Stegostoma tigrinum: one gene and its partner. The protein of the gene in region 2 binds, or shares a complex with, the protein of the main gene of each other region. Links are inferred from orthologs where the notes say so. Each region holds a gene or a part of one and is shown on either strand. Other genes may lie near its edges.

Region 1 (16,648 bases), on a different chromosome or scaffold from region 2:
CTCCGGGTGCCCTGGTTTCCTCTCACAATGCAAAGATGTGCAGGCTAAATGGATTAGCCACAGTAAATGTGTGATTATGGGGACATAGTGTGGAGTTGACGTGGGTGAGATGCTGTTTGGAGAGTCGGTATAGACACTATAGGCTGAATAGCTTCTATTTGCACTGTAGGGATTCTATGACATATCTGTGGTCAGGATCTAAAATGCATATGCTGAATGGTGGAGGAAAATTCTAATGGGAGATAAATGCAGGCCTGTGGGGAAAACGCTGAGAGACAGGGTTGGCTGAGTTGTTCTTGCAGAAAGTCAACATGTACACACTAGGCCAAATAAACCTCTCATGTGCTATAATCATTCTATGATTCTGTTTTTGGTTGTAGTAATGAGAAGTTGTAGTCAATTGTGATGCACAAGTTGCAGATTTGTTCAACCAGCAGTTTAAACTTCAAAAGATCATACATTCAAGTCAAATTTAGAGTGCACATTTTGACATTTCAAACTAGACCAAGATAATTGTTCTAGATGCTATCTTAACAGTACAATGTTAAGCTGAAGTCTGAGCTGCAGCTTAGGTGAACTGAAATAATGCAAAGTGTTTAATAGTTTGTTTCATCTGTGTTGATGAGACAATTGATCCTTGTATACTTGCTTGATTGCTTAAACTTGTCTGGAACTATTGAGACAAGTATCAACACCACAGGGGAAAGGTTTCAGAAAGGATCTGGGATCCAGCACAAAAAAAGTGTTTTGAAATTCTTTAAGCTCTGAGATCTTTTAAATCATTGTAAACAAAGATTTAGAAATAGAGTCTTCTCTACATTGTTTTGGTCACCTGGATTATACTCCAAATCACTGCTCAAAAACAGGTTAGAGGAGCAAGTGCAGGTTTCACAAGGAAAGTATAATGGCTGACTGAGGACTGAGCACCAGTTCCATGTGGGGTTTATAATGGGTGGAGAAGGGGCAAGAACTTTTTCCACATGGGGTATATTAACAGGAGGTAGAGGATATGGGGGCTTTTCAAACAGAGTCCACACACCCATGTCCTTGCAGTGCAAAAATTGACTGTCATCATTCAGTATGGTTGTTTAGAAGTTGACTTAAAACGAAACTGCAAAGTGCTTGGAAATAATTTAGTGTAACTCACTTCACAAACCTGCCTCTGCATTAAGCAAGAAGCATCACAGCATTTTATGCATCCATTTCATGAATCAGATCGCTAATTCTATCTTTCAAATTAAATTGGGTCTCCTCTAATCCTTGGCCGGTGGATTTTGCGATAGACTAATAAGGATTTTCTTTCAGGTCATCTCAAGCTTTCAGTAAATGATCTCAAAACCCCATCACAAATCAGGTTACAGGGATGATCATTGAGGCAAACAGAGGGGAGCTATTTTTCAGTGGGCCTATGCCCACTTCACCAATAAACCCACTAATTTCACATACTGCTGTAAAGAAAACTTTTATTCTCCTTGCCTGATGTGGATTCAAACCCAGGAACCAGCCAGGAAAAAGCAAATTTTACTGAGCTGCAGATTCATAGGCAAAACAATGTTACACAAGGTGATATAGGTAAACATCATGCCTTAAGTCAGTATGTTACACAGTAAGTAAATATGCATTACATAGGGAATAAGAGATGGCTGCAAGTGTTTTATAAGGCTTTCGAAATGGTATTTGAATGGGAAGGGTACAGTACAAGCTTAAAAATGCTTCTAAACCTTACAATGATGGACTTATTTTTATGACCACCTCTCAGTTTTCATTCAGATGGCTGAAGGTTTGAGGTTGAAATCCACGGTTTCAGTTCATAGGAAACTGAAGACATAAGCAAGGGTGATATTTAATGCAAAACTACTGGAGTTTTTGCCTCGTAACATTCTTTAAATGAGATGTTGGACTGTGCACAGTTTGCTTAATCAAATAAACATTAAAGATCCCAAGAGGCTCCCCCTGTTGCCCTGGCTAAAAATCTTTCCCTTAACAATATCGTGGATTAAACGCCTCCATTTCTTGGGGAATACACATCCAAAGAATAGTTGGTCTATCTGCCTGTGTAACAGCAGCTATATTTGGACATTGGTAATGGCAAGACACTCATCATCTAAACTCAAATATTACTGGAGAGAGAGATCACTCTTTTCATAATTGGGCCTCATATTTCATATGGTTCACAATTCTTACCAGTCTCCTGACAGAGAGCAAATCTTGCATGGTGGGAACTGAAGACATTTGACAAGATTATTCTGGCACTGAACCATTATTTCTATAGGATCAATGGTACGGAATGAGAGTTGAATGAACAATAACTCATCCCTTTTTATTTAAGCATTCAGTTTGTAGAAATAATGGCTATCTGGAAAGGATTACACGGCACTAGTCTAATTGAAGGGTATACTGACATGACAGATTTCACGAGCAAAGCTTGAGCAGTTTATAATCATGATCTGAAGTTGTGAGATTAGATTACTGCCTTGAAATCTCTCCAGGTGTCTGTTTGTTTCATTCCCTCTCAGTGTTTGATGAGGTGCTTTTACTCAACATTGATTCTGATTGCGATGCCAGCAGTGCTTGTCAGAACAGAAGCCAACTGCAGCTGCACAGAAGCAAAATTGGTGTTCATATCAAAGAGCATTTCAGGGAGGGGGCATTGCTAGAAAGTCTGCTTTACTGTCCAACTCGTTTGTTTGAGAATGAATTGCTGGATCTCTGTAATTCACCAGTATTAATTTAATGTAAGAGTGGCTCACTAATGGTAAGTTAGCGCCAGTCATGCGTATGGGAATACAGTCACAGATAAATCAGACTAGATAGTGTCCCTAAAATTAAGCAGGGAACTACAGATGCTGAAGATTTCAAACACAACCAGAAACTGCTGGACAAACTCAGCAGGGTCTGTGGCAAGGAAGCAGAGTTAAAATTTCAAGGCCAGTCAAAACTGAAGGGTCACTGGACTTGAAATGTTAACTCATTTTCTCTGCACAGATATTGTCAGAGCTGCTGAGTTTCTCCAGCAATTTCAGTTTTTGATGAAAGTAACATTAGGAGCTATTAGTGATCCTGGGTGGTGGCTTACTTCAAAATGACAGCTTCTAACTAACACCAGCAAAAAGCAAAATTGAGATTCTCAAATAACCACGGTGAATTTTAAATTGAAGTTTCTTGAATTACTAGTGTGGCTCTTGGATTACTGGCCAAGTTACTTAATCACTACATTACTATCACCAGATTAATTATCATGACACTGTCACTTCAAGAAATGATTAGCACCTAAGTATAAAGCCACAGTGTGGTTTGGAGTAAAATATAATTATTTAAAGTATTACTAATAGAAGGTTCCAAAGTAGAATTGGTATTTATGTTCTTTATGTATAATACTTTAAACTAATTGTTCTCGTTAAAAGATGTGTGGGTCCTGAAGAGTGCGCAGAGGAGGTTTATCAGAATGGTTTCAGGATTGGGGGTTTGTGTGTCACAAGGTGAGATCGGAAAAGCCTTGGAGCAAAAGGAGACAGAGATTTGATTGAGGTAGACAGATTTGGACGCCATAGTAAAGACAAACTTAGCTATTAGCTGTAACAACAAGGAGTAAGAGGCATGCATTTCCAGGGAGAGATGCAGGGGGAAGTACGAGGTGATGTGTGACTTTGCTCCCACTGCCCAGAGGCTGGTGGAAATGAAGGCAGTCAATAATTTTGGAAATAAATCGGATGGACATTTGAAGGTAATAAACTTACCTGATTCCAGGCCTGGAGCTGGAAAGATGTGCCTTGTTTGCTGAGTGGGGAGATGGCATGACTTCCATAGCCACACTGGCCTGTCCTCAATTAAGTGCTAATCATTTCTTGAAGTGACAGTGTCATGATAATTAATCTGGTGATAGTAATGTAGTGATTAAGTAACTTGGCCAGTAATCCAAGAGCCACACTAGTAATTCAAGAAACTTCAATTTAAAATTCACCGTGGTAATTTGAGAATCTCGATTTTGCTTTTTGCTGGTGTTAGTTCGAAGCTGTCATTTTGAAGTAAGCCACCTCCAGGATTACTAATAGCCCCTAATGTTACTTTCATCAAAAACTGAAATTGCTGGAGAAACTCAGCAGTTCTGACAATATCTGTGCAAAGAAAACAAGAGTTAACATTGAGTCCAGTGACCCTTCAGTTTTGACTGGTCTTGAAGCGTCCTCAGTGATTCTGTAGAGTTTTTGATCCTTCCTTACATTTGAGAAACAAGTCTGAATTACAACACCGTCTCGAAGCAGTTATTCTGTTTTCTCTCTAATGATGCAGTAACCTTCCCTTCCTATTCCCAAGGCCTGAGTTCTTGCGGGGACGTCTCACTGATGTCAACGGCGGCCGGATCCTAAAGCTGAGTGGTTCCTGTGAGCGTCGGGAGAATGGCCTGCCACTCGGCTATTTGACTGCACGAGGCATCGCCGCTGCGCTGGATCCTTTGCAACTCGCACGCGCATCCCCGGCCGGGATCACCAGACCCCTGCTGGAGAACTACAGCCTGCTTTCCCAAAAGTCCCCACTCCGTGCGGGTGCTCACATCTGGCGGAAAAGCCAGAGTAACGCAGTCCGGGGGGTTGGATACTTGGAGGTTTAAGCACGGACCAGTCCTATGCAACCTCATCCAGGCAGTGGAACACAAGGAGAAAGGAAGGGACCTTTCCGTTTATATTTACGAAACGATTCCGCATCGATGAACTGTACAACACGGGAGACCAATCGGTCTATCGCCCTTCCTTCTACTCACTGTCCTCCAGTGACTATTTCTTTTCAAATAGATCTGCTCTGTACATGAAAATAGATGATGGACAGATGGAACTCTGTTGTAAGAAGTGGTGGTATTTGTTGGGAGTGGGGTGGGGGGATTAGTGTAAATGTTGTGATACAGAATGGAGTGTAGATTTACAGAGTCCTGCAAATCTTTCCAAACAATGCAAACAGACTGTGCTCAGAAAGCAGCGCGTCGGGGAGCTGCAAATTTAGCCCGGCTCAGCTCACCACCCCAGATGGTGTGTGACATACTGAGAGCGGTTCGTTCACCGCCGGCTCGCAATAAGCCGAGACAGACAGAAAGCAACTTACCACGAACGAGTCGGAAGCCTGGGGCTGCAGACTGCGCCGTTAATGAGGGGTCACAATAAAACCCAGGGCTTCGCTGAGCTTCAGTCGCATGTGCAGAAGCTCTGATCCCCCTTTGAAAACCGGCATGAGATTTAGACTCCACAGTGTTCCTCCTCCCACCCGCCCCGGCCCAGCTGACCCGGGACTGGCTGGGATATGGAGTTCAGGGGAATCTCTGTCAAGTGCCTCGGATCCTGTATCTGACCAGCTTTAAATCGGACACATCGCTGCAGCGTCCGAAAGGGATGGCTGTGAAACTTAACGCTGGACACTGATAGGTTTGTCAGTCTGGATAGCCCCCTCTTCACAATACACAGCAATGTACCCAGTAACCCAGCACTGCCCATTACTGTGTGCCCGGCTACGTGCCTCTGCAACAGTCTCTCCGTTTGTTGTATATATTAATATACAGAGACCCATTAAAGATGACTTCTCAAGTCGGCCACACACTTAACTGTCTACTTCATAGATTTATCAGTCATTACTATATACTGAGCCATTTATCTAAATATTTGTCCATGTATTTTTTGATCCGTATCGATACTTATCCATCTTCACATTCAGCTGAAGAGCTTCTATCGATATAATGTTTTTTTTGACATATTCAAGGACAAAGGCAGCCATTCATCTCGCTCCCCATCTACCCCTGAATGTGACTCCCAGCCTAACGCCGTCTGGGTAAGTACAAACCAAAAGATCGCAGGACACCCACTACCTTTACAAAGTTGGAAGCCAAGTTGACAGTGATCGATCCGGAGCCTTGCCTTTCTCTCGGTCTCCTCCACCTACCTATCTCCCTCTTTCTCCAACCCACGATCTCTCTCTCTCTCGCTATGAACAATGCAGTCTGTCCTACTCACTGTTTCTCCCAGACGGAGGAGGTGGGAATGGGAGCTGTGCTAGAAGAAACTGGGCTGTCAGAGGGAGAGTCAGAGATGAGCAACTGACCGCCACCACACACACACACACACACACACACACAGTTACCTGTTAACCCTGGCCCCAGCCTGCTCCGCTTACATGCTGTACCCATCGGGAAAGTGAAGTAAAGTGACTCACCGGTGTTCAACTCTGCCCATCCGAGAGTGAACAAGAAGCCGAATGCCATGCACAGGGCTAGCGCTTCCAGCCCAGAACCCATCACGGAGCCGGCTGCAGAGACAGAGAGAGGGGACACAGAGAGGCAGTGCCGTAAGGACAGGCTATCCGGGGCTGGGGGAACGATGAGGAAGAAGCCGGTGGCAGAGAGGAGGAAGGGAGTCGGCAAATCGGCAACTCCAAAGTGGGTAAGTCAGTTTGCTTGGTTAGTGCCGCGTCTCTGATCTCTAACTACAGCAACACCTAAAAAAGAGCCTGAGGAGTGGGAGGGAGAAACACACACACAGAGAGATCAAATTACTCCGAGCATGTGACAGGAAGCTTGGCTTTAAACCTGCTCCAAAAGGACTGTTTAGCCACAAGCTGTCTGCACCTGCCAGCAGGCTGCCCTCGCAAGGAGCTCTCCCGAACGATTATTCCCCGTTCTCATCGGATTTTCTCCCGTGCAGAGCAATTAACAAGGAAAGTAACCGAACTTCCAAACAACTGCTGTCACAGCCAGCCTTCCCCGATGAAAAAGTTACTGTGAGCACGTAGCTTCACATTGGGATGTCTCAGTGTGTGTGAAATACATTTTTGAAGTGTCATGTTAGGGACTGTAGTCACTAACTTGCACTCAGCAAGGCTCTCCGAACAGACAATGTAATAAATAAATTGTAAATCGCCTGTCACTGGCAAGCGTTGCGTGGAAGATTTTTTTTGCCCAAGGTACTGGAGAAAATGTCTTCACCTGAGAGGGAGAGACAGAACCCGGGTTTGACCTCTCTGAAGGTTTGTACCCGCAGCAATGCAGCACTCCAATGGGCAGTCAGAGGCTCTCATTGACATCAGCGCCAGGCATGCATCCCCTAAGGCCCAGGATTAGCCAAGGAGTGAGGGCTCAGCTGTGTGAGGGTCGCTGATGGGTGTCAGTCAGGGGAAAAGGCAGGGGATTTAATTGCCACTGGCCCCCTCCCCCTGTCTGAGGTGGGGTCCCTTGGACAAGCACCAAGTTCCTAACAGCCAGTGACCCCTCGCCCCCCCCCCCCCCCCCCCCCACCTCCCTGGCACTCATAAGCTAACACAACAGGCCGTGGCTGTGTCAGGAATATGGTGTGGCAAATGCACCACCTACAGCTGGCTCAATGCCACTGATGGCCATTAATTACCCATTTAAAATGCTCCATTAACGTTGGAGTAGGCAAGCAGTCCACAAAACATCCCTACTCAGACTTAACTGGGGCAGTGGCAAGAAAGGGAACCCCACCCTCACCCTCATTCCCTATTCAATGCCCCCTACATCCAAATTCACCTCAGGGGAGGGTGTTCATACTGTCCATTATCCCTGAGCTCTCTGGGGCAAGGCTTGTCAGGACTTGTATCTGAAACTGTGAAGTCAAGCGCCTCTAACTCCCCCTCCCCTTGATCCAGCACAAGTCCACATAAAGAAGTCAGGAGGATCCTACGATTCACAATGTTCAGATGGTTTGGTATTCTAACGCATGGGGAAATCTGCTATTCTTTCAGTCAAAAGTTGCTTAGTTTCCTTCACAGTTGCCAGCCTCTTAGATCCAAATTCCAGTCTATCAGTTTAGTAATCGCAATGAGCTGAATGAATTCACTCCATGATGAACTCTCCTGGCCAACCATACCCCATGGTGTGACAAGCCAGTGTTGGCATTGTATGTCCGTGGCCTCCCTCATTTTTTGTTCCGTGTAACTCTAGAAAGATGATTCAACTCGTTCTGTTCTTGGAAACCTGCCAAAACAATCATTCATCTTTCTTGGACCTTCTGTATGAGCTATGTTATTGTTATAAAATTCTCAACTTGGAATCCTGAACTTCCCAGCATTTAGCTCAGCAAATGTATCACCTACTTCTAATACCTTAATCTTGTCAACTTTTCACAAGTTTCAGCCACCAGGCCCAGATGATAATATGGAGATAACTATCACTTTCTCTTACCTATGTTTACCCCATATATATGTAGGTTTCCATGTCCTCCTTAATCTTCCAAAAACAGCAGAAGCAAGTCAAATCCTTCTAACTTCTTTGCAACTCCCGTTCTCTGGCACTAACCCACCCAGAAACACAAGCCTTTCCATCTGTTCATTTACCTAATGCCTTCCAAAAGTTATGTCTTTTGCCCCCTTAATCTGAAATCTATTTACTATACACATTCAGCCCCTCTATTTCTTTTTCAGTGTGAATCTGTTGACAATGTTATTCTAGGCATAATCCCATTAGCAAATCTGAGATTGTTTAAAATCTTGCCAGTTAGGGAGATTCCTCGAACATCACTATTTCGGGTAAGATTCATAAGTTTTCCCGGTGCAAGGTTAAATAAATTAGGCAGTGGTGTGTATCCTTGTCTCACCCCAACAACTGCTGATCTAAACCATTCTGGTGGCTTCCTGTGCATTCTAATGAGGCAGTGTCACACTGGTTTGCTATCAGTCTGACACTTTCTCAGGAACACCTCGCATCCTGAAGACATGACATATCCCTTCTCGCTGTATGCTATTGAATGCTGATTTAAAATATAAGAGATTGGTGTAACAATAGATGTTGTACCCTGTACCTCTCTCCAAAATCTGCCACAGTTGCTGTAATTTATGTCCTTCTGCCTAAAACCAGCTTTTTCTTCCTTCAGTGTCAGTTCTGCACCATTCTCCTCAGTGGTGTCTGATTGTGATTGTTCCATGTTTACTCAGCCAGATAATTCCCCTCTAATGGTTCCATTTCCTTTTGTCTCCCTTTCTCAAGGATTAACTGAAGCCCAGATTTTATGAGCACCAAGCAGATCGATGTGAGGGAAGGGGAGCAGGAAGAAAACAATCCATGCTGATTCCACCTGCAGCTTCTCATCATGCCAGATGTCAGGATAAGGGTGAGCTCTGAGCTGAGAAGTAGCATTATACAGGAATATGGCATCAGTCTATACCCTCTCTCCATTTCAGCCAGCCCCACTGATACAGGAAACCATCTTCTCTGCAAGTGTCAGGAGTTGCAGGTAACCCATGATCCCAACCAGTTTTGCTCTGCTCCTCTCAATAATAGGTCCAATTATTGGGGCAGTATGGTGGCTCAGTGGTTAGCACTGCTGCCTCAAAGTGCCAGGTACCCAGGTTCAACTCCACCCTCGGGCAACTGAGTGGCGTTGCGCATTCTCCCCATGTTTGTGTGGGTTCCCTCTGGGTGCTCTAGTTTCTTCCCACTGTCCAAAGATGTGCAGGTTAAGTGGATTGGCCATGCTAAATTTCTCATAGTGTCCAGGGATATTCAGGCTAGGTGGCTTAGCCATGGGAAAATGCAGGGTTACAGGGATAGGATAAGAGGGTGGGTCCAGGTGGGATACTGTTCGGGTGGCCTGTGTGGACTTCACAGGTTGAATAGCCTGTTTCCATACTGTAGAGGATTCCATGATTCTATAACTGTCTGCAGAGGGAAAGGCAGAACATCAGCAATTGTGTCACACTTTGTTTGGATGATTTTTCTCCTATAGCTGACTAGCTACACATGTCGAGGCACTAGGAGGTGCGTTTGAAACCAACTGGCGAGTTAAGGGGATATCTGAAAGTGAGGTGTGGATCCTGATTGCCAAGAATTGGTAAAGGTTGAATGATGGGAATTGTGTGCACTGCACTGTGTGAGAGGTTGGTGGTATGGTGGAGCACAGGTATCATTTGGCAAGAATTTGACTGACTTTGGCCACACACCCAAAATCATCAAACTTGGTGTGGCCCTGGATCCTTAGGTCTCGGCTCCAGGAATTGACATCCACGGCTACCTTTTCCCATGCCCTTTCGAGGAAAGTCCCATTTGGACTCATGGCATCTCTTCTCCTGCTCACCTCCATCTCCGATGCCTCTTGTGGTACATTAATCTCCCTCAGTCCTTCCCTTTACCACTGTGTTCACATTTCCATTACTTAAATTGTAGCAATATTCTGCAGTGCGGTGTACCTTTAAGAAAGGCAGGGCCCAGCTATACCACATCATAGTGAACAATGGTACTTGACGCTCTTGTAAGTACAGAGGCAATTGGCAATATTGAGAAAAAGTGAGCAGTATGGGACCTGCTCAGTCAGATAATACAGCCATTTAAGACAGGTAGACCAAATCTAGTGTGCTGCTCAATTTAATCTAAACAGGCACAACCAATCAGGAGTTCTGGCCCTAGCACCCAAAAACTGAGGGAATCGAACTTTTAGAACAGAATCTAAATCTATTTTATATATAAGCTGTACATGTTAGAAAAGTTAATTCAATCATAAATTATGTACAAAACAACATAAAGATGAAATTGAGAGTGATGTTGCTAAAAGAGATAGAAAAATTGTAGAAGTTTGAATTCTAATTTAGTTGAAATGTCAAACAAGAAATCTCATTTAAAATCAATGAGATCCACACTTTCTGGAAGAAATATTTCAGGGCCAGAGAGGTTGACAACAGAAATTAACCCTTAACATGGTATGAAGAATATATTTATATGATTATATATACACAATAAATGCATATGACTGAACAAGCCCTAAATTTTCAAGGTATGTTTAGTACCACAGCTTTATATATCAATATTAATGGTGAAAATATTTCAGAAGGAACGGTTACACAGGCTGGGCTTCTATCTGCTGGGATTTAAAACAGTAAGAGGTGACGCAATTGAAATGTATTAGATCTTGAGGAGGTTTGACAGGTGGATATTTGTTTGCACTTGTTGCAGAATCGTGGAGGCAGGATCTATGTTTATAAGTAATGGATTATCCATTTACAGCCAGAGATAAGGAGATTTTGCTGACAGAGGGTCATAAGCCTTTGGAACCCACTTGCTCAAAACGAAGTTGAAATAAAGTTTTTGAATATTTTTAAGGCAGATTTAGATAGATTGTTACTCGGGAAGGGAGTGAAGTGCTCTCAGGGGTAGATGGAAAAGTGGAGTAGTCTGATTAGCCATGATAGTGCTGAATCGTAGTCCAAGTTCAAAGGGCCAAATGACCTACTCCTGATCCTAACTAACATATGCCTAGCAGCATAGGAAAGCTGGTGGAGGAGCAGGATAAATCAACGCTGCTGATTACTTCGCCATTATTCCTACTTAAATTATCATTATCTTTCCTCATTCTTCAGGCACATGTTTAGAACCACAAATTTAATTCACGAGCCTTTGCATCAGCATCATGTTATGTCTCTCATCCACTTACAACAAGTTCAGTTGCATTCACATTAACAGGAGTCTTGTCATTTCTCAACAATGAATACTTTACCTTTCAGCAAATCCAACACCACCTCCCTTCTATTCACACAAATGTGACATTGACTAAGAGATAATGGGAACTGCAGATGCTGGAGAATTCCAAGATAATAAAATGTGAGGCTGGATGAACACAGCAGGCCCAGCAGCATCTCAGGAGCACAAAAGCTGATGTTTCGGGCCTAGACCCTTCATCAGAGAGGGGGATGGGGAGAGCGAACTGGAATAAATAGGGAGAGAGGGGGAGGCGGACCGAAGATGGAGAGTAAAGAAGATAGGTGGAGAGGGTGTAGGTGGGGAGGTAGGGAGGGGATAGGTCAGTCCAGGGAAGACGGACAGGTCAAGGAGGTGGGATGAGGTTAGTAGGTAGCTGGGGGTGCGGCTTGGGGTGGGAGGAAGGGATGGGTGAGAGGAAGAACCGGTTAGGGAGGCAGAGACAGGTTGGACTGGTTTTGGGATGCAGTGGGTGGGGGGTAAGAGCTGGGCTGGTTGTGTGGTGCAGTGGGGGGAGGGGACGAACTGGGCTGGTTTAGGGATGCAGTAGGGGAAGGGGAGATTTTGAAACTGGTGAAGTCCACATTGATACCATATGGCTGCAGGGTTCCCAGGCGGAATATGAGTTGCTGTTCCTGCAACCTTCGGGTGGCATCATTGTGGCAGTGCAGGAGGCCCATGATGGACATGTCATCTAGAGAATGGGAGGGGGAGTGGAAATGGTTTGCGACTGGGAGGTGCAGTTGTTTGTTGCGAACTGAGCGGAGGTGTTCTGCAAAGCGGTCCCCAAGCCTCCGCTTGGTTTCCCCAATGTAGAGGAAGCCGCACCGGGTACAGTGGATGCAGTATACCACATTGGCAGAGGTGCAGGTGAACCTCTGCTTAATGTGGAATGTCATCTTGGGGCCTGGGATAGGGGTGAGGGAGGAGGTGTGGGGACAAGTGTAGCATTTCCTGCGGTTGCAGGGGAAAGTGCCGGGTGTGGTGGGGTTAGAGGGCAGTGTGGAGCGAACAAGGGAGTCACGGAGAGAGTGGTCTCTCCGGAAAGCAGACAGGGGAGGGGATGGAAAAATGTCTTGGGTGGTGGGGTCGGATTGTAAATGGCGGAAGTGTCGGAGGATGATGCGTTGTATCCGGAGGTTGGTAGGGTGATGTGTGAGAACGAGGGGGATCCTCTTAGGGCGGCTGTGGTGGGGGCGGAGTGTGAGGGATGTGTTGCGGGAAATACGGGAGACGCGGTCAAGGGCGTTCTCGATCACTGTGGGGGGAAAGTTGCGGTCCTTAAAGAACTTGGACATCTGGGATGTGCGGGAGTGGAATGTCTTATCGTGGGAGCAGATGCGGCGGAGGCGGAGGAATTGGGAATAGGGGATGGAATTTTTGCAGGAGGGTGGGTGGGAGGAGGTGTATTCTAGGTAGCTGTGGGAGTCGGTGGGCTTGAAATGGACATCAGTTACAAGCTGGTTGCCTGAGATGGAGACTGAGAGGTCCAGGAAGGTGAGGAATGTGCTGGAGATGGCCCAGGTGAACTGAAGGTTGGGGTGGAAGGTGTTGGTGAAGTGGATGAACTGTTCAAGCTCCTCTGGGGAGCAAGAGGCGGCGCCGATACAGTCATCAATGTACCGGAGGAAGAGGTGGGGTTTGGGGCCTGTGTAGGTGCGGAAGAGGGACTGTTCCACGTAACCTACAAAGAGGCAGGCATAGCTGGGGCCCATGCGGGTGCCCATGGCCACCCCCTTAGTCTGTAGGAAGTGGGAAGTGAGCCACCGACTCCCACAGCTACCTAGAATACACCTCCTCCCACCCACCCTCCTGCAAAAATTTCATCCCCTATTCCCAATTCCTCCGCCTCCGCCGCATCTGCTCCCACGATAAGACATTCCACTCCCGCACATCCCAGATGTCCAAGTTCTTTAAGGACCGCAACTTTCCCCCCACAGTGATCGAGAATGCCCTTGACCGCGTCTCCCGTACTTCCCGCAACACATCCCTCACACCCCGCCCCCGCCACAACCGCCCTAAGAGGATCCCCCTCGTTCTCACACACCACCCTACCAACCTCCGGATACAACGCATCATCCTCCGACACTTCCGCCATTTACAATCCGACCGCACCACCCAAGACATTTTTCCATCCCCTCCCCTGTCTCCTTTCCGGAGAGACCACTCTCTCCGTGACTCCCTTGTTCGCTCCACACTGCCCTCCAACCCCACCACACCCGGCACCTTCCCCTGCAACCGCAGGAAATGCTACACTTGTCCCCACACCTCCTCCCTCACCCCTATCCCAGGCCCCAAGATGACATTCCACATTAAGCAGAGGTTCACCTGCACCTCTGCCAATGTGGTATACTGCATCCACTGTACCCGGTGCGGCTTCCTCTACATTGGGGAAACCAAGCGGAGGCTTGGGGACCGCTTTGCAGAACACCTCCGCTCAGTTCGCAACAAACAACTGCACCTCCCAGTCGCAAACCATTTCCACTCCCCCTCCCATTCTCTAGATGACATGTCCATCATGGGCCTCCTGCACTGCCACAATGATGCCACCCGAAGGTTGCAGGAACAGCAACTCATATTCCGCCTGGGAACCCTGCAGCCATATGGTATCAATGTGGACTTCACCAGTTTCAAAATCTCCCCTTCCCCTACTGCATCCCTAAACCAGCCCAGTTCGTCCCCTCCCCCCACTGCACCACACAACCAGCCCAGCTCTTACCCCCCACCCACTGCATCCCAAAACCAGTCCAACCTGTCTCTGCCTCCCTAACCGGTTCTTCCTCTCACCCATCCCTTCCTCCCACCCCAAGCCGCACCCCCAGCTACCTACTAACCTCATCCCACCTCCTTGACCTGTCCGTCTTCCCTGGACTGACCTATCCCCTCCCTACCTCCCCACCTACACCCTCTCCACCTATCTTCTTTACTCTCCATCTTCGGTCTGCCTCCCCCTCTCTCCCTATTTATTCCAGTTCCCTCTCCCCATCCCCCTCTCTGATGAAGGGTCTAGGCCCGAAACGTCAGCTTTTGTGCTCCTGAGATGCTGCTGGGCCTGCTGTGTTCATCCAGCCTCACATTTTATTATTTTGACATTGACTAAGCTTTGTTTTACAATGCTACGCATCACAAGTATTCATGGACTGTTATGCTTCCAATCTCTTAGCTTAGTTTCTGCAAATTCAAATCTAGAGGTTTGCGAACTGCTATTGCTCAATTTGTTTATTTAAACTTTCCAAACCAGGGGAATGAATATGTTATTGTACTTTGAGACTATATGAACGGTTGGCTTTGCCCTCCCTTCCATTCATTAATGTGGGGGCATTACTGGCAGTGAGTCAGAGCAAGTAATTTTATGTGGGTTCTGATCTCTTTGAATTTCTGTTTCTGCCTCTATGTTTGTATAACTGGTTATTTCCTCTTTCCTTTGCTCCTGTACACTTCTCTCCCTGTCCATATTTGCCATTTTTTCCTGTCTATTTCGTGTGCTGCCTTTCTCTGAAACAGTTGAGGAGGACATGCCCTGAAAGAGAGCAGCCAAGGGTCAGTTCCAATGCAAAGTTTCAACTATAATTGGGTCAGGAAGAGAGCAGATATGACTTTAGGCTGTTTTGCTTTGACAGAGGCATGGGGTACTAGTTGGGTAAGAATCATAGTCATGCAGCATTGGAATGCAAGTAAGGACAGAAAGCTTTCAGATCAGATTGAGGGCATGCACATAGTCAGTTTAGATAATGAGCGGAGATAAGATGCGGAACAGATTTACAGATTTTCTGGTAGTTTTAAGGCAACGTCCAATGTGTAGGAGGAGCTTGGTTCAGTTTGTGTTGTAGCAAGCTTCTCAAACTGGCTCTCTGAGCATGGCTTCAAGAAGGACATGTGCAGCCAGGGTTGCAGCAGGATTCAGTTTGTTGATAAAAGGGTCAAAATAAGAGTAGATCGCATCATGAAGAGAGTGGATTTCCAGCTCACTAACTAGTAAGTTTCACATCTGCTCAGCACACATCTTATTGCTTCACTTTCAGCAGAACCGGCCTGAGGGGTTCGTTGACCCAACCCTCTTCCCTATATTTCCAAGATGCACAGGATTCTCACTCCCAAGACAAATACAGGCATAATGTACAGTCCTTTTAGATGATCCAAATCAAGGTGGACAGAGTAATGGGATATCTGTAAGCAATGGAATACATGTCATTGAACTGGACAGACCACAGCTGCTGAGTTTTAGCGTAAAAAATCACAAGGGTCCTTCCCTCAATATGTTTTTTATATGTTTCAAAGTGATGAAAGCTCGCCACAACTTAGTTTGATATTACCTCTCCATGGGCCTGAACTCTGTCCTGATCACTGATCGGGGTGGTTTTACTAAAACGACTGGGCCTTAATGCCCTTTTAGTTATAATTTTGCAAGTAACAGGTTTACAATGGCACTTGGGCCATTCTAATGCTCCACAAACAAGGTCTAGTTTAGTTTCAATGAAAGAAATATTCCATGCTGTGCACTGACGTTTGCATGTGAATCCTCAGTATGCACTCCCAATATGTGTGCACCTGCAGCAGGAGCACTGATCTATAATACCTAGCCTTTTCTACAGCTAATAAAGTGACAATTTCTGAGCATTAGTGCCATTGGTAAGTTCAGCATCAAAGTAAATCTCATGTTGTCAAACAGGCTGGATTTACTCACCACAGGTTCCTGATCTCCCTCTCACTGCTGTTGGGTGAAGATAGCAACTCAGAACCAGGTATGTAACTTGAACACCTCCTAATGGTTTAACCACAGTAAACTGGAGGAGTCTTGGAGCAAGTTACCCTAAGTCCCAAGTCCGAGCTGGTATTTATGGTGTGGAGGAATGTACCAAAGCTTTAAACCAAGCATACATATGTTTTACAAAGACAACAGAGCCCAGAATTTACTCAATCCTTTCACTGTGTATGGTATCATTGGGCTTAACAATAGTTGAAAAATAGATAGGGTTAATTCTTTTAGTAGTGGGCTAAACATGAACGGGCAGCTTTGACAATCCATCTGCTCAAATCCAACGGAATCCAGTAAGAGCAAAAGGTAAGATCACATAGGGTTAGGGCTAATTTGTTAGCTTGGCTAATCATTTGATTGGCTAACCAACATAAAGCAGAGAGTCAGGGATAAATGGGTCTTTCTCTGATTGGCAAGACACAACTAGTGGGGTG
Region 2 (16,241 bases):
CTGAATAGTATGTGACTGTAAGGGCTGAAAGACCATGTTTGAAAGACACAAAATGGCCGACCAGAGTTAAACAGAATTAAACAGTGTTAATAGTTACACTGCAGCCCAGTGAACTGCCTGTAATTTCATGAACATTTTTGGTCAGGGGGAGGCTGATCATTCTTGCAAATCTGCTTTCGATTTTTTCAAAAATTCTTGCATCGTGTATTAGAATTGCTGCATTTGTTGCCCACCTTAAATTGTCTTTGCACAAATTGGCTCTCTAAGCCATTGCAGAAGGCACTTAAGAGTTTAAACATGCTGCTATGGGCCCAGTGTCACATGTAGGCTCGGCCAAGTGAGGATGGAAAATTTTCCTCCCAAAAAGGCATTATTGAACCAGATGGGAGTTTTTTAATGAAAATTAATAATGGTTTCCATTCGAAAAGTCTTTGTTTAAAATTCTAGATTTTACTTAATTGGAATTTTACCATCTCTCATAATGGTATTCAAATCTGTGTCCCAGAACATTACCACTCCCCTGATCCATCGCACCACTACCACCTCTTCTGTTACTTTGTAACTCACTACTAAATGAATTTTTAGTCGTTGATACTGAAAGGGAAAGCGGATACATGCATGAGAGAGAAACTAATAGAAGAACATGAAAGCTTGACGTTTTTGGTCGGGACCCTTCAGAAATTTCTGAAGAAGGGTCCTGACCCGAAACGTCAAGCTTTCCTGCTCCTCTGCTGCTCGGCCTGCTGTGTTCATCCAGCTTCACACCGTGTTATCTCAGATTCTCCAGCATCGGCAGCTCCTACTATCTCTCTAATAGAAGAACATGTTGGCTTAGTGAGCAAAATTTCCGCCTCACAGTGCCAGGGACCTGGGTTCAATTCCACCCTCAGGTGACTGCCTGTGTGATTTGTATATTCTCTCTGTGTCTGTGTGGGTTTCCTCCAGGTAGTTTGGTTTCCTCCAGGTAGTTTGGTTTCCTCCCACAGGCCAAAGATGTGCAGGTTAAGTGGATTGGCCATGCTAAATTGCTCATAGTGTCCAGGGCTGTGTAGGTTAGGTGGAATAGCTACAGGAAATACAGGGTAGGGGGATGGGTCTGAGTGGGATGTTCTTTGGAGAGCCAGGGTGGACTTGTTGGGCTGAATGGCCTGTTTCCACACTATAAGAATTCTATAACACATTAATAGAGTAAATAAGGTGTGATGTAGGCTTCTCCTATGGAGCATGAAAGCAAACTTGGATCTCATAGAAACAATTTCTTCATACTCTTAGAACCCCTACTGTGGAAGCAGGCTATTTGGCCCACTGAGTGCACACTGTCACGCTGAGAACATCCCACTCAGACCCGTCCCAGTAATCTTGCATTTTCCATGGTTAATCCACCTAGCCTGCACATCCCTGGGCACTGTGGGAAATTTAGCATGGCCAATCCACCTATCCTGCACGTCTTTGGACTGTAGGAGGAAACCCACACAGATACAAGGAGAATTTGAAAACTCCACACAGACAATCACCCAAGGGTGGAACTGAACCTGGTGCTGTGAGGCAGCAGTGCTAACCCTATCTATTGGGTTAAATGTGCTGTAAATTCTACACCCATGTGCCTTCTTTCTACATCTTGCCTAAACATGAAAAAAACAGGAACTTTATTGTAACGTAAAACAAAGAACTGTGGATGCCAGAAATCTGAAACAAAAACAGAAATTACTGGACAAACTCTGCAGGTCTAGCATACAGTAAGAAGAGTTAACACTTTGAGTCCAATTAGCGCTCTTCATAACGGAGCAACTTCACTGCAATGCAATCAGTGCTGTCAGGTTTCATTTTTCTCTCCGTGAAGCCTACTCTTCCATGCCTTTTACACTGAATTGGCTATGATAAAGACCATCAATTCACTTACCCCACTGTTTCTGGCTTTTACCTTATCAGGATGCATCAAATCTCTTCAGGGATTGTTGTGGCTCTGAGTCAAGTGTACCTCCTTTTATTTAGGGCACTGTTCATGATCTCTGGAGGATTAATTTGTAATTTCAAAGTGGACAAGACCAATCCATGGGCATCACTATGTTATGCAGGAAGGGGATAGCTTCTTGGAAGCTGTGGCAATGTCTTCATTTTGAAACAAAAGAAAGGAGTTGCCACTTGCCTACTCGTTTCGAATATCATCACCTGCCATTTAATGCTACATTGTCACCAATGACAAATGCCAGCACAATATTCCACTGAGGCGTATTCATTCCATCTACGAAGTGTGAATGTTGGCTGAGAGAGCTGGCACAGCACTGCTCTTTTGTTCTTTGTTTCAGGTGTGTGAAACCTATCTTCTATTCTGTTTCGGTGATTCCCTTGTGATCTGTAGTGGCTAGTTGCGGGACTGTGTACTGGATTGTTGGAAGGTTTTGTTTACAGGGTCTCACTGATAGATGACTAGATTGCCTAGAGGTCAGTGGATGAGCATTGCAGGAACCCAGAGATGTGAATTAGCCAAATTAAAGATTGATGCCTATGTTAAATTACTCTGCTTGGTTGTGTTGGGTACTTCAGATAATAGTGAGCAGTGTTATAAATTGGATGTCCCGTTGACCTGTGCCAAAGGACATTTCACATATATATTGCATCATTTGAGTAAAACAAAATCGCGAGGTCATTCGAAAGGCCTCCGCTAATGTTGTGCTCCTTACTTTCTACGAGGAAAAGCTCAGACAAAATGGTAATAATTGGATATCAGACTGGGAGGTTTGAATGGACAGTCACCATTGTAAACAGGCAAAACATTTTGTGGAAGCAGCTTCTAAAAACTGACAAAGTGTGCAACCTCTGCTGGTAAGATGTCAAAGGGAATACAGGAAGTAACACTGACTATTTCCAACCATAACCCAAAGGTTGGAATATAGGACTTAGAAGCAGGAATAATGCATTTAGGTTTTCCAAATCTGATTCGTTGTTTCAGAAGGTCATGGCTGATCTCAACAATATCTGCAACCCCACTCTCACCCACTCACCCTGGAACACCTTACCATAATTCTTGACTTTTCTGTCCTTAAAAAATCTACTTGAATAAATTCCTTCAATAAATTTGTTCAAGGGAGATCAACTAGTGCTTGCAATGCTGTAGGCTGGTGTGAGTGGCTTTGCAAAGTAAACTTTCTCCCTCTATAAGTGTGTATCTTAAAACGACACAGAATATCTAAATTATGTTACCACCATGATTAACAATCACAGCTCCCAAATGAGACTGTAGTAACTGGTGACACTTTTATTTCAGTTAAAATATAGAAAATTTATATCACAAGACACTCGATAGCAATAATATAGAACAATTTACAACACTGGCTGAACAGGGAGGAAGGCCTTGCAGCATTTTCCACAATACTGGTCAGTCAAGTATTTACAGTATAAGTGCCAGACTGAATCTTTTACAACACAGTAATTTACTGCAAGCATTACAGTCTACATAGTTCCTTAAAAGGGAACCAAAAGAAGCCCGATACACTTCGAATTCTGAAGGATGCCAGCATGCTTCCAGTCTAAAGCCCCTGAGAGGGGGGGCTCAGCTAGTCGGCCGATCTTGAACCGAAGTCTTCTCCTACCCCTCCCCCATCTTCCCAACAAACCTCCTCCCCAGCCCAATGTCCAAAGGTCTCGGGTCAGTCCTTTCACCATTGTCCACAGTGGTTCAGGGTCACTGGCATGTGTGCAGCCTGGAATTCTTGCTGTGATTCTCTCCCCTCTGTATCCGACAAGACAAACCCTGGGCGCAGTCACATCTCTGGAAGATCTCCAGGCCGCGGGAGCCTTTCCGCTTGTGTTTGGTGCACACCTGACCTTCCCTCAGCACCGGTTTGCAGATCTTGGACCAAAAGTGTCGGGCACAGCATAGTCCTTGGTCACAGTCAGAGGATCTGAGGCAAACATCACCTTCCTGTCCTAAGATGGGAAAGGATGGCCGGGGGGGGGGGGGGGGGGGGGGGGCGCACGGAGATGAAAAGAGAAAGTCAGTGAGAAACTTTCAAGATTGCAGTGCAAAGCACACACTTTGGACCTGTTTTGAATTTATCTGAGCCCTTACCTTTAACTGGGTGGGACCGAGCAGGGAGGGTTGTCCTCCTTGAATGGCTGTCCAAGGTGGTTTGATGCTCCTCATGGTTCCAGCTGTCCAGGATGCTCTCCTCAATTTCACCAGGAGTGTGTTCAATATCATCAGGCATGCACAGTCCTGCAAGACAATCCAGACCTCAAAATCCAGTTTGCTCCCTCCAAGAGAAAACTATGAACCAACAACCCCCTCTGTTGGCCCAGAAATGTTCATTGACTTCTTTTTGAGCAACTTAAACCTGACTCCTTTAAATTCCAATGGAGTTCAAATTAGTCAATTAGTGAGTTCAATGAATTCTGGGGATGGAGTGATTATGGGACCCTGAGACCAAGCAAACTCAACCAGAGGAGATAGGAGATAGGGGTGGGAAGTGAGGGGGCCACTAGACGACCTCGGTTTAGCCTCTTGGCAACTTCCACAGTCCATGATCTTATTTCTCTCTGGTAAAACAGATCTGCTGTTTTGAATTAACCGAGGCACCATTGTGCAACATGGTGTGTATATAAAAGTTTAGTTGTCTCGCACTTTCCCCTAATTTCCTATTTGAAACATGTTGCCCTCCGGTTGTAATACCTGACGTGGAATGTATATTGCAAATAGAAGACCGACTGCAGCGGGATCGACAGGATGTATGCGGACAAGTTGTATTTTTATTCCTGTTTCTGCAATATCCATGTTGAAAATTTTTAGATTTTTATCTATAAAGTACTTTTTTTCTCTGAAAACCAACAGCCCGATTGAAAAGCTGCAAGTTTTCAGCACTTTTTTTTCTCTCGCATTTACTATCCTTCCACGAAATGCCTCCCTCACTCTTCCCTCTCCCAACCCGTTCCCCTCGTCCTGTTCCGTTCTCTCTCCCACTCTGGCCGTCATTCTCCCCGCACTCACCGTTGCTGCAGCGAGTCCCCGGGCAGCACATAGCATCTCGGAGACAGCGTTTTCGGCGTCGGCGGCAGTTCAGACAATGCTGGGCAGCGGTTCTGGAAGCAGAACAGAACTGCTCGACAGCGCAGTCCCGGTCATTCAGACAACTGGAGAACTGCAAAAACGGAGTAGAAAGTTGAGTTAGTGTCCCCCCGGCACGGTGTAACACAGCAACACTAAGCACACATCAGGGCACGCACGGGCAGACCCTGAACGACTGGCACACACACAAATACACCCTGAAACATTAATACACATACACCCTGAAACATTAATACACATACACCCTGACACACACAAATACTCCCTGAAACACTGACACACACAAACGCACCCTGACATACAATCAAATACACCCTAAAACACTGACACACAAACGGATATACCCTGAAACATTGACTCAAACAAATATATCCTGAAATTTCGAAACACATATGCTCTGAAACTTTGGCATACACGGAAATGTAGCGTGAATCAATGGCGCACGCACACGTATATATACTCTGCAACATTGGCACGCGCAGACATATCCTGAAACAGTGGCACACCGCACAGATATATACCCTGAAACACTGGTACACACAGAGATATACCCTGAAACACTGTCGCGCACAAATATACTCTGAAACGGCGGCACACAGATACACCCCACAACACGATCACACACATTTATACTCCGCAACATTGGCGCGCGCACACACGGACACACAGACGTACCCCGTAATATACATGCAGAGAGGTAGACCCTGCAATACATTCACCAGACAATGCTTATACCCTACCTATAACACAAATTACGCGATAGTGTAATTACTGCGACATGTTTATGTGCATTAACACAAAAAGTAGTGTCTCCAAAAACACATCGTCCAACCCACAGAAATATCTTATTTTGCAACAGGTAATGTTGTGTCAGAATCCAGGTCTGAAACAATCAAAAAGTTGGGCGTGTTATTTGACGTTAAATCTTAAACAGGGAAAACTTCGTAATTTCAATGCAAATATTGACCGTTCTGGATGAAACAATGTTACATTTTGTTTTGTCTGGGTGGCCAGCTGGGTGCGTGCTTGGAGGTTAGCTGGCTTGACACTGACCTGGAATTGCTCGACCGCGTGGTTTTTGTTGACACTGTGACGGACCACAACCTGGGGAGCGACGCTGACCGGGTGGCTGGGACTCAGCGCCGCACCGCTGGCTGTCTTAATGGCGTTGGAATTGAAGGAGCTCACGGTGTTGCAGAGACAAAAGGTGAGCAGCAGTCTACCAGCCCCAGCAGCCTTTAAATACATGGTCAGCAGGGTCTCTCCGGTCCAGGACACCGCCAGATGAATGCAAGGAGGAGATGAACAGCCCACTCGAGATGCCCTTCACTCTCCTGACAGAAACCTGTGGGAGCAGCTAAGTGATAAATCCTTCTGTCCAGAAGCGCGGAGGTTTTGCCTGCTGGCTGTCTGGTTAACTCACTGACCTTGCAGAAACTTTATTTCCCTGAGTGCAGCCGCTTCCTGAGCAGTTTTATAGCAGCTCCTGCTGCCTGTGTTCCCGCCCCCCTCTCTCCATGTGTGACAAAGGACATGCTGGGATTTCAACACATGCTGCTCGGAGAATTTGCAAACCTACGTGTGTGTCAAACCAAGCCCCCCCCCCCACCTCCCCCCAATATCTAAGGCGCAATCAACACTCATTCCCGTTACCTTCTTTAATCATTTCCCGAAAGATGGCACCACATTGAGGTTTGACGCCTTTCTGAAACCTCTCTCGATCTTTATCTCCCTGTCTCTAATCTCCCTCCCTGTCTGAATCTTCCTGTCTTTATCTCGCCCACTCTCCCCTCTGTATCCATTTCTGGCCCTATCTTGTCTCGACATTCCTCCCTTTTTACCCCTCTTTCACCAGCTTCCTCTCGCTGTCTCCGTCTCCCTATTCTGTATCTTCCCTCTATCTCCTGCATCCTGTGCCTCATGTCTGTGTTCCACTGTACCCATCTCATTTTGCCCTTCTATCTGCCTCATCTCCCTTCCTCTGCCTCCATCCATCTCTCGTCCTCTTTCTCCCTCTGTCTTTCTCTCTCGCTGTGCCTTCCTTCCCTCTATCTCATTGTCTCTGTCCTTTACATCTGCAGTTCTAGCTGCCTTTCCCCGACGCTTCTATTTAGCGTTTTGCGGTTCTATCTATAAAGTTTGTGTTTGCCTTTCAGTCCTCAATCCGCCTTTCGCGCCCCTTGTTTGGTCTCTCTGTCACTGGGCATTTCTGTTCAGTTTGCTTTCTGTCTCTATCCCCGTTTCTTTTTATCTCCTCCCCACCCCCCCCCCCCGCCCCAACTTTGGCCTTTCTATCCCCTCCTGTCTGCATATTCCCCCTTCCCGCTTATTTAACTTGCATTCTGAATCCTTTTTTAATTGTCTTTTAAAATCCTGGGTCCAAATGTGTGGGGATGGCGAATCGGAGCTTAAAGGAAAAGTTTCTCGCTCAGATTTCCGCTGCTTGTAGAAGTCATGGGCGTGGAGCCCATCCTGTCGCAATATTCATCCTTTATCCGATGAGTTTCACGTCTGCTTTTTGTTTATTTGGAGCCGCGGATAGTTTTAGTACCTGCACTGTCTGGCTGGGAAAGAAAAGAATTCGAATACATTCAGATCATTTTCGCTCCATTTACAGCGTTTGATTGGAACGGGGGCCCAACTTTGAAATCCAGTTGATGAAACAAACTCGGCAGATCAAAGAGCTTGTGGAGACTCAGAACAGAGAAGAGTTTACCCAGTGAATTATCACGCAGTCCCGCACAGCAAAGCAAACACAGAACGCTCAGCACTGAATAATAAACAAGGTTAAGCTGCTTTCTCTGAATTGCTATTGTGTTCTTTGACTTAGTGATAAAACTACCAGAAACGAGCAGGCGCACTGCACTGATTGGCGTCGCTTCTGAAATTGCTAAAGAGCTGTCAGCAGGTTCGATGTTTGCAAAAATTATTAAACATGGAAATAACTCAGAGGAACGCCTTCTGCACCTGTTTCGGGGCTCCTCTTTTGGCCATGAGGTTTTGCTTTGGTTGATGTCGCGAAAAATAGTTTGGAACCACATACTTTTCGCGTGTGTGTATGTGCTCTTTTTCTCCCTCGTGTTGTTTAACTGAAGCTTTCTGGTTACAATGAAGCAGACTCTTTGGCACAAGAGGTAGAAAGATCCAGGTAACTGTTGTCCTCGCAATCGAGGTGCTCCTAAGATGCTGCTCGGCCTGCTGTGTTCATCCAGCTCTATACTTTTTTTTATCTCGGATTCTCCAGCATCTGCAGTTCCTTTTATCTCATGGGATTTGAAGTGTTGTTGCTGCAGGAAACACAGGAGCCAGTTTGCAGAGAGCAAGCTGTCTCCAGTAAAGTTACTATCTGAGATGTTACAGCATGGAAGCAGGCCATTTGGCCCATGCTGAAATAGCCATGCACCTGGTACCATTCCCCTGGAACCAGCCTCCACTGTTTACTTTGGCAGCACATTCCAGTGTAAGCAGGCTATTCGGCCCATTGAGTCCACACTTACCCTCTAAAGAGCATTCCACCCAGATCCACGCCCCTACCCCTATCCCTGTAACCCTGCATTTAGCATGGCCAATCCGCTAACCTGCACAACTTTGGACTGTGGGAGGAAGCCCAACGCAGACACAGGGAGAATGTGCAAATTCCACATACATAGTCACCTAAGGGTGGAATCAAGCCCAAGTTCCTGGCAGTGTGAGGCAATAGTGCTAACCACTGTATCACCCAAACTTAACCTTCTCTCATCACCGATTGCTCAGAAATACAGAAAATAGGAGCAGGAGTAGACCATACAGCCATTGGGAGCCTGCTCTGTTATTCAATATGATGATAGCTGATCATCCAACTCAGTCCTCAGTTTCTGTTTTCTCCCCATAATCTTTGATCCCTTGGCCCTAAGAACCATATTTCACTCCATCTGCAAAATGTTCAATATTTTGGCCTCAACTGCTTTCTGTGGCAGAGAATTTCACAGGCTCACCACTCTGGGTGAAGAAATTTCTCCTTATCTCAGTTCACTCATCCATACCCTCCACAGCAAATGCTCAGTAGCAGCAGTGTGTACTATCTACAGGATGCACTTCAGAAATTCTCCAAAGATCCTTCGTCAGCACCTTCCCAACTTAGGACCACTTCTATCTAGAAGGACAAGGGGAGCAGATATATGACAGTATCAACACTACATTCCCCTCCATGCAACTCACCATGAGCAGGACTGCCCTGACAAAGGTTCCTGACCCAAAACATTGACATTGCTGTCCCTCTGATGCTGCCTGACCTACTGTGTTCCTCCAGCTCCACACTGTATTGACTCTGACTTCCAGCATCTGCAGTTCTTGCTGTGTCCTGACTGATCCATCCCAAAAATCAGTTTCATGAACCTTTGTTGTACTCCCTCCAAAGTCAGAACATCCTTTCTCAGATAAAGGAGACCAAAACTGCATCTAATCTCATGGATGTGGTCTCCCAAGGTCCTGTAAAATTGCAAGACATCCCTCCTCCTATATTTGAATCCTCTTGCTGCAAAGGTCAACGTACTATTTGCCTTAAACTGAAAGAACCACGGATGCTCTATGTCAGTAACAAAGACAGAAGTTGCTGGAAAAGCTCAGCAGGTCTGGCAGCATCTGTGAAGAAAAAAAATCAGAGTTAACGTTTCGGGTCCAGTGACCCTTCCTCAGAAATGATGGTAGCTGGGAAAATGTCAGTTTATGTGCAGAAGGTAGGGAGTGGGGTAGGGAGGGGAGAAACAATGAATAGAGCCCAAAGAAAGAGAAGACCAGTTGAATTATGATCCAATGACCCAACTGCTCCTGACTCTCTTTAGGCTCTTTCCTATCGTTTATTCCCTACCCTACTCCCCCCCCCTTCCCTATTTCTCTATATAAACCAACATTTTCCCTGCTACTATCTGTTCTGAGGAAGATACACCAGACTCGAAACGTTAACTCTGATTTCTTTTCTTTACAGGTTCTGCCAGACCTGCTGAGCTTTTCCTGAAACGTCTGTTTTTGATTCTATTTGTCTTCTTCACCGTCTGCTGCACCTTTGTGTTTTGCGAATTGGCTCTCAATCCTTCCATCAGTGGGGACAACGTTTGTCTATCCATTCTGTTCAGTCCCTTCATAATCATAACAAAATCATTTGATTTTTTGTGATCTTTATTGATAAACATTGGTATGGATACTGGGGTTAACTTCCCTTATATCCTTCAAAGTACACACCTGGACCTTTTACATCGAGCTGAGAGGGCAGATGGGCAGCACTCCTTCAGTACTGCACTGCAGCTTCAGTCTTGATTGTTATGTTGAAATCCCAGAGTGTAGAACTTGAAATGACAGCCTTCTGTATGTTACCAATCGTTCATAGACAAACTGGTGAAGTCACTATACATGATCTAAATAAGTAGACATTAGGAGACTGCAACAGCTACAGTGGTGACCAGCAGAGGCCAGAAATTCAAACTGTGACGTGGCATCTGACTCACCAACCCGTGTACTAGTGTACCAACACATCAACATGGCCTTTGTCTCAGTGACTCTACAGGGATATCACAACAACAGTGCAGAACGGGTGCAGCTCAGTGTCCTGCACATTTTAGTGTGAAACCACATTCACTTGACAATTCCAGATTTAACATGTCTTTCAGTTAGAGAAACTGAGATGGTGAACAGTTATGAATGTGTGTGTGTGTGTATGTGTGTGTCTGTGTAAGAGAGATGCGTGTGTGAGAGAGAGTGTGTGTTTGTGTGTGTGTGTATTTATGTGTGCGTGTGTCTGTGAGAGTGTGTGCGCATGTGCGTGAGACAGTGTGTGTGTGTGTGTGTGTGTATGTGAGAGAGCATGTGTGTGTGTGTGTGTGTGTGTGTGTGTATGTGTGTGTGTGTGTGTATGTGTAAGAGAGTGTGAACAACATGAGTACTTTTCATTGCAGGCCTGACGAGCATTTTGACTGTTTAATACTGACACAGATCAGGGAGGCTGATAGATAATATTGCTTGACACTGAGAGCGATGTCAATAAGGATAAAGTCAGCCCTGACTGTCCTTTCTTTGCGAGCATGCACAAATAATCACGACTGACACTTCAGCGTGGGTCAGCACAGTGGCTCAGCTGGGGACCCGGGTTCAATTCCAGCCTTGAGCAACTGTCTGTGTGGAGTTTGCACATTGTTCCCGTGTCTGTGTGTGTTTCCTTTGGGTACTCCAGTTTCCTCCCACAGTCCAAAGATGTGCAGTGAATTGACCATACTAAATTGCTTTGTAGTGTCTGCAGATGAGGTGTCTTGTGAGTTTGCCATTGTAAGTGTTGGGTTATAGGGAGGGTGGAAGTCTAGATATGACTGGGTGCTGTTTGGAGTGTCAGTGCAGATCTGATTGACTGAATGGCCTCTTTCTGCACTGTAGCGATTCTGTGATTTCACCAAAGTGGCCACAAGAGGATGATATATTCATTAGTAAATCATCACCATATTGTTTGAACTGTGCTTGTGAATGGATAAATCTTCCCTCATGTCGGGTATTGTGAAACCAGAACAGGAGCTGATGTGGTCAAATCTGAACTGGCCAATATTCAATCAGATCTGGCCACACTAGCAACAGGCACAATCAGAGGTCACAGTCTGCATTGGAAGGAATGAACAACTTATTGCTTTTGAGTAAGGTTGGCGAACAGAGGCATGGTGACTCAAGACCCCAGATTATATTTTATTGGTTTCGTTCCTATTGATGGGTCCTTCTGTCCTTGGCAAATAGGAATTTGATTAATGTCAGGTTTGGAGGAAACAGTCCCTCTGGCAGTGGAGTACTCTCGCAGTAAGCATTGGATTGACAGCTTAAATTAAATAATAAAAATCCAGATAGATTATCACCATATTACCAATTGTTTATATGAATAGGAGTTTTGGCCAAGTTACATCAACTGTCATGTCCATCAAGCATTTGGGACGTCAACATTCTAAAGCATTTCAGAGCTGAATTAAGAGCTGGGTACAAAACGATTCAAAGATTTTGCAATAGTTTCCCTCATGATCCCTTCCCATTGTCCCATCCTTGTAAAACATTAGATGCACCGTAACATGAATGCAAATGTCTATAAAATGCTTACAGATCACATTATTAATAGAACAAAATCATGTCATTGGATATTATGCTTAAATAAAATTGGTTTACGGGTGGGGGAGTGCAGTGGCAGCGGCATAGGTTCAATAAGCCTGTTTATTAGTCTGTTTTGAGATGATTAATGGAATTGGAGATGGATAAATGCTCTGGAATTTTAGGTTGTAATTGGGACCAGAGATTATGAAGATTTGTCTTCCTCAAGAAATTTCATAGGTTGGAATAGGATCCATTACAAAGTAGATCATACGTGTTTAATGAAAGAAGCAGGTCAGCTGAGTAGATGACCTTTTACAGAAGGAAGTCACATTAGTCATTATGAGTTTCTTATAATACTTTTTTGAGAAGCCTCATGTGATCACTGGTAAGCACATGGTTAGGTTTTCAAACAAGGTCTTCCTGCTTGCAATCATCACCCCGTTAAAATAATCTCTTGTCTAAGCAATTGTCCTGAACAATGGATTTCTTTAGTTGCATTCCTGTTAAGCCAAATGGAATTCTAGCAGGAGTCTGGGTTGGGAGGTAATTTTTATTATTTACTCATTCATAGGGTGTAGGTGCCATTGGCTCAGGGGCTGCAATGGCCTAGTGGCATTATTGTTGCACTGTTACTCCGGAGATGCAAGAAATATTCCCGAGACTGTGCTTCAATTCCCACTATGGTAGGTGGTGGAGTTTGAATTCAATAAAAATTTGAAATTAAGAGTCTAATGATGCCCATTAAATCATTGTCAATTGTTGAGAAAAACCCATCTGGTTCACCAATTGCTTTTCAAGAAAGAATCTGCCATCCTTACTTGATCTGGCCTACATGTGACTCCAGACCCACAGTACTGTGGTTGACTCTTAAGTGCCCTCTGGAAAGGGCAATAAATGCCAATGCCCACCTCCCATGAACTAATAAAAAAAATTAATATAGGGATTACCCATCCCTAATTGCCCAGAGGGCTGTTAAGACTCGACTACATTGCTATGGATCTGGAATCACATGTAAAGCAGATAAGGTAAGGATGGCAAATTCATTTTCTTAAAGGACCAGTCTTTTTTACAGGAATTGAAAATGGTCTGTTCTTTTTATTCTGGATTATTTTTTGAACTGAATTCAGATTTCACCATTTCCCCAGCGTTGGATTCAAACCCATGTCCCTGGCCTGGGATTTGTGCTACTAGTGGAGTGGCAATGCCCCTATTTGCAGGAAATGTCCACTCCCATGCTCCAGTGTAGAATGAGCCCGGCCTTTGATTAAGATTTCTTTTCCAAGAACTGTAATAGTACAGTCACTGGGCACTATCTTATAGTGATACAACTGTAAGAGTAAATTTCCAAAATAAATGGAAAATCATGTGTTTTCACAACAGATATACATGTTGCTTCATCCATGGTCTTCTATCATAAGGTCAGCAGTGAGGATGTTCACTGAAGATTGAACAATTTTTATACAATCTGGATCACTCCCTAACAGCACTGTGGGTGCACCTACACCAGACAACCCTAAAATCGTGTACCTCAGTACCTTTTAACCTAAGATTGTGCCATAAGTGGCAACTCTGTAAACTTCTCACAGCACCCATGTGAATACATGTGACAATAAACCTAAATTTAATTCTAACATACTACTGCAGTTCAAGAAAGCAGCTCAACGCAAACTGTGGAGGAACAATTAGTGAGAGATAATGGGAACTGCAGATGCTGGAGAATCCAAGATAACAAAGTAGTCTAGGCCCGAAACGTCAACTTTTGTGCTCCTAAGATGCTGCTTGGCCTGCTCATCCAGCTCTACACTTTGTTATCGAGGAACAATTAAAAATGGACAGAAAATGCCTGCCAGATCCATTGTTCTCTTCTAATCTTCATGTAGTGTCCTCATTGTTCAAGGGTTAGTTTATCTCATGATGTTCACTCTGGGGTGGCGATTAGCTTAACCAGTGCAAATATTATATCTGCGTTGTTGGAGTTATTCAACACTGCAATACCAATTAAGATTAGCGACTGCACAAAGTCTTTCTCTCATCCCATAAATGAATGTATCAATAAACTAACAAATTTAATGTTCTTCTGACTGCCACACTCAGTTGAATTACACACTCCACAAATATGACCTCATCCAAAAGTATGTTCTATCCTGTGTTAACTGATGTACACTCATTCCAAATCTCAATTTTAAAACCTTCAAACTGGTTTTGAAATTGCCTCCCTAGTTCTGCAACTTCTTCCAGTGCTATAACCTTCTAAGATCTATGACCTCATTCAATTCAATTTCATAAACTTCTCAGTTTAATCATTTAGAACTAGAAATTGTGCATTCTGTTGTCTTAGTTCTACTGTATATAGTTCTATTGCTGCAATGGCAATAATAATGAAGATGTTTCCTATGACATTTTTAGCTTTGAACCTGTCCTTAGGTGGCTTCGAGCCAAGTTTTGTTTGTTTACACTTCTGTGAAAATGCCTTGCGATATTTACTAACTTGAAAGGTCTTATACAAATGGAAATACTTATTAAGGTCACTTATTTGAGTATGGAAGTAGTCAGTCAGAAAACAAACGCCAACTATCTATTTTGTGATCAATTTGAAAACTGGAGAAATGGAGTTCCATACATTTGCATCAAATTGTTCACAGTTAAGTTTGACAAAAAGCTAATGAGGCAGCACTTGTTTCTCAAAATGTTTGAAGTAAAGTTTAAAAATGACTTGAGTAGTTCCAACAAGAGCAGACCACAGTTATCCAGTGAACTGTTATTTTAAAGACACAATAAACCATCTGAGGCACTTCACAGGAGGACATCAAAAGAAGTTGGCACCTAAGCCATTGAAACAGCCATTAAGATGAGTGACTAAATGCTTGTTAAAGGAGAGAAGTTGTAAGCAGTTTCTTAAATGAAGCTAAAGGAGGGACATGGCAGGCTTTGGGGAAGTAATTTCAGAGTTTAGGTTTATGAAGTTGAAGGCACAGTCACTTATGGAGCAGGGAATGGTAGGAATAAGCTAATGGTCTTACCTAGAGGAGGGAAATTTGGAGGGGCCAGAGGAGGTTACAGAGATGGGCCAGGGGCAGGGTCTTACAAAGAATTTGATCTTGAGGACAAAAATTTTAACTAAGGTCCACCAAGTCCAAAATTAGGATCAAGGCAGCAGAATTTGAAACAACTGAAAATCAAGGAGAACGGAAGATACGAGTGCAGCGTTTGAAAATGCCATTCAGAAAGTAACAAAACCATGTATTAAAGTTTCAACAGCAGATAAACTGATGCTGAGGAGGATCAATTACATAGGGTGACCAGACACCTTTGGAGCTAAAAAGTAAATGGTGTTGAAAGATCAGTTCAGAGTGAAACAGGTGCAATAGCTGCAATGTTTGAACCTCATCGGTCTCTCTGCATTTTCCTGCAGTCACTCTCTGTGAAGTCTGGACTAATCCTGCCCTATTTCTTTACTTCATTGGCGACCTTGCCATCAGATCCAGTGTTCCTCCTAAACCTCTGAATCCATCACTTAGTTCTTTGGCTGAGCTTTTCATAATGCTGCTACCGGCCTCTTGGATTTGGGGTCAATTTTTTTGTGTTTTAATATCTAGTAAATTAGCTTGGGGAGTTTGTCTGTATTCCAGGTGGTACGGAAATTTAAGTTGTTACTAAAAAATGAACCTAGAGCATGTTGACATTGCAACTGTCCTTTATCTAATATACCTAACACTGCTAATTACAATTCCGCCCTAACCCCCACATCCCGGGATAAGATTTGATTTCCTGTCAATGTGTGAATGTATGTTGTGCCTGGTGTGTGGTTGCAGCTGTTTGGCATGACCCTTCAGTACAAGTGTTGCAGACAGGCACACTTCAGTTTCTGGGACTATTTGCTGAGGAACATTTTGAGCTTGGGGTAGCTCCTGCATTGGTACAATAGACCCCACCCAGAACATTTCAACCACTGTGTACTGAGCAGCTGGGTACTATAATATCCCTTGACTGCATGCTTTATAAAAATGTATGTTGTAAATTAAGTGTATTGATAATGTTTTGAGGCACTTCAGAGTGGATCATGTTGTATAAAAGCCTTATTTCAGTGATA

Evidence for each region.
Region 1: the proteins of dkk1b (region 2) and kremen1 are in contact, whole or in part, in a crystal structure (PDB 5FWW), measured with the Homo sapiens proteins. The link is inferred for Stegostoma tigrinum from reciprocal best matches to the Homo sapiens genes DKK1 and KREMEN1. Residues at the interface, in NP_036374.1 of Homo sapiens: Cys189, Leu190, Arg191, Ser192, Ser193, Cys201, Arg203, Trp206, Ser207, Lys208, Lys222, His223, Arg224, Arg225, Lys226, Gly227, His229, Gly230, Leu231, His261; in XP_011528731.1 of Homo sapiens: Pro67, Asn88, Asp90, Asp92, Ser94, Trp96, Gly105, Val106, Tyr107, Trp108, Tyr110, Asp127, His128, Gly129, Pro132, Thr140, Asn142, Glu164, Ser165, Tyr167, Ala168, Phe170, Asn189, Val191, Phe193, His196, Asp203, Gly204.

What each region holds. Positions count from the first base shown.
Region 1 is NC_081379.1:37,606,619-37,623,266, forward strand, and holds the start of kremen1 (kremen protein 1), read right to left. Parts: upstream 6,458-16,648; 5' UTR 6,275-6,457; coding exon 6,193-6,274; intron 1-6,192. UniProt on the Homo sapiens protein: Receptor for Dickkopf proteins. Cooperates with DKK1/2 to inhibit Wnt/beta-catenin signaling by promoting the endocytosis of Wnt receptors LRP5 and LRP6.
Region 2 is NC_081373.1:47,600,817-47,617,057, reverse strand, and holds dkk1b (dickkopf-related protein 1b), read right to left. Parts: upstream 6,495-16,241; 5' UTR 6,311-6,494; coding exon 6,116-6,310; intron 5,136-6,115; coding exon 4,985-5,135; intron 4,217-4,984; coding exon 4,070-4,216; intron 3,928-4,069; coding exon 3,683-3,927; 3' UTR 3,303-3,682; downstream 1-3,302. UniProt on the Homo sapiens protein: Antagonizes canonical Wnt signaling by inhibiting LRP5/6 interaction with Wnt and by forming a ternary complex with the transmembrane protein KREMEN that promotes internalization of LRP5/6.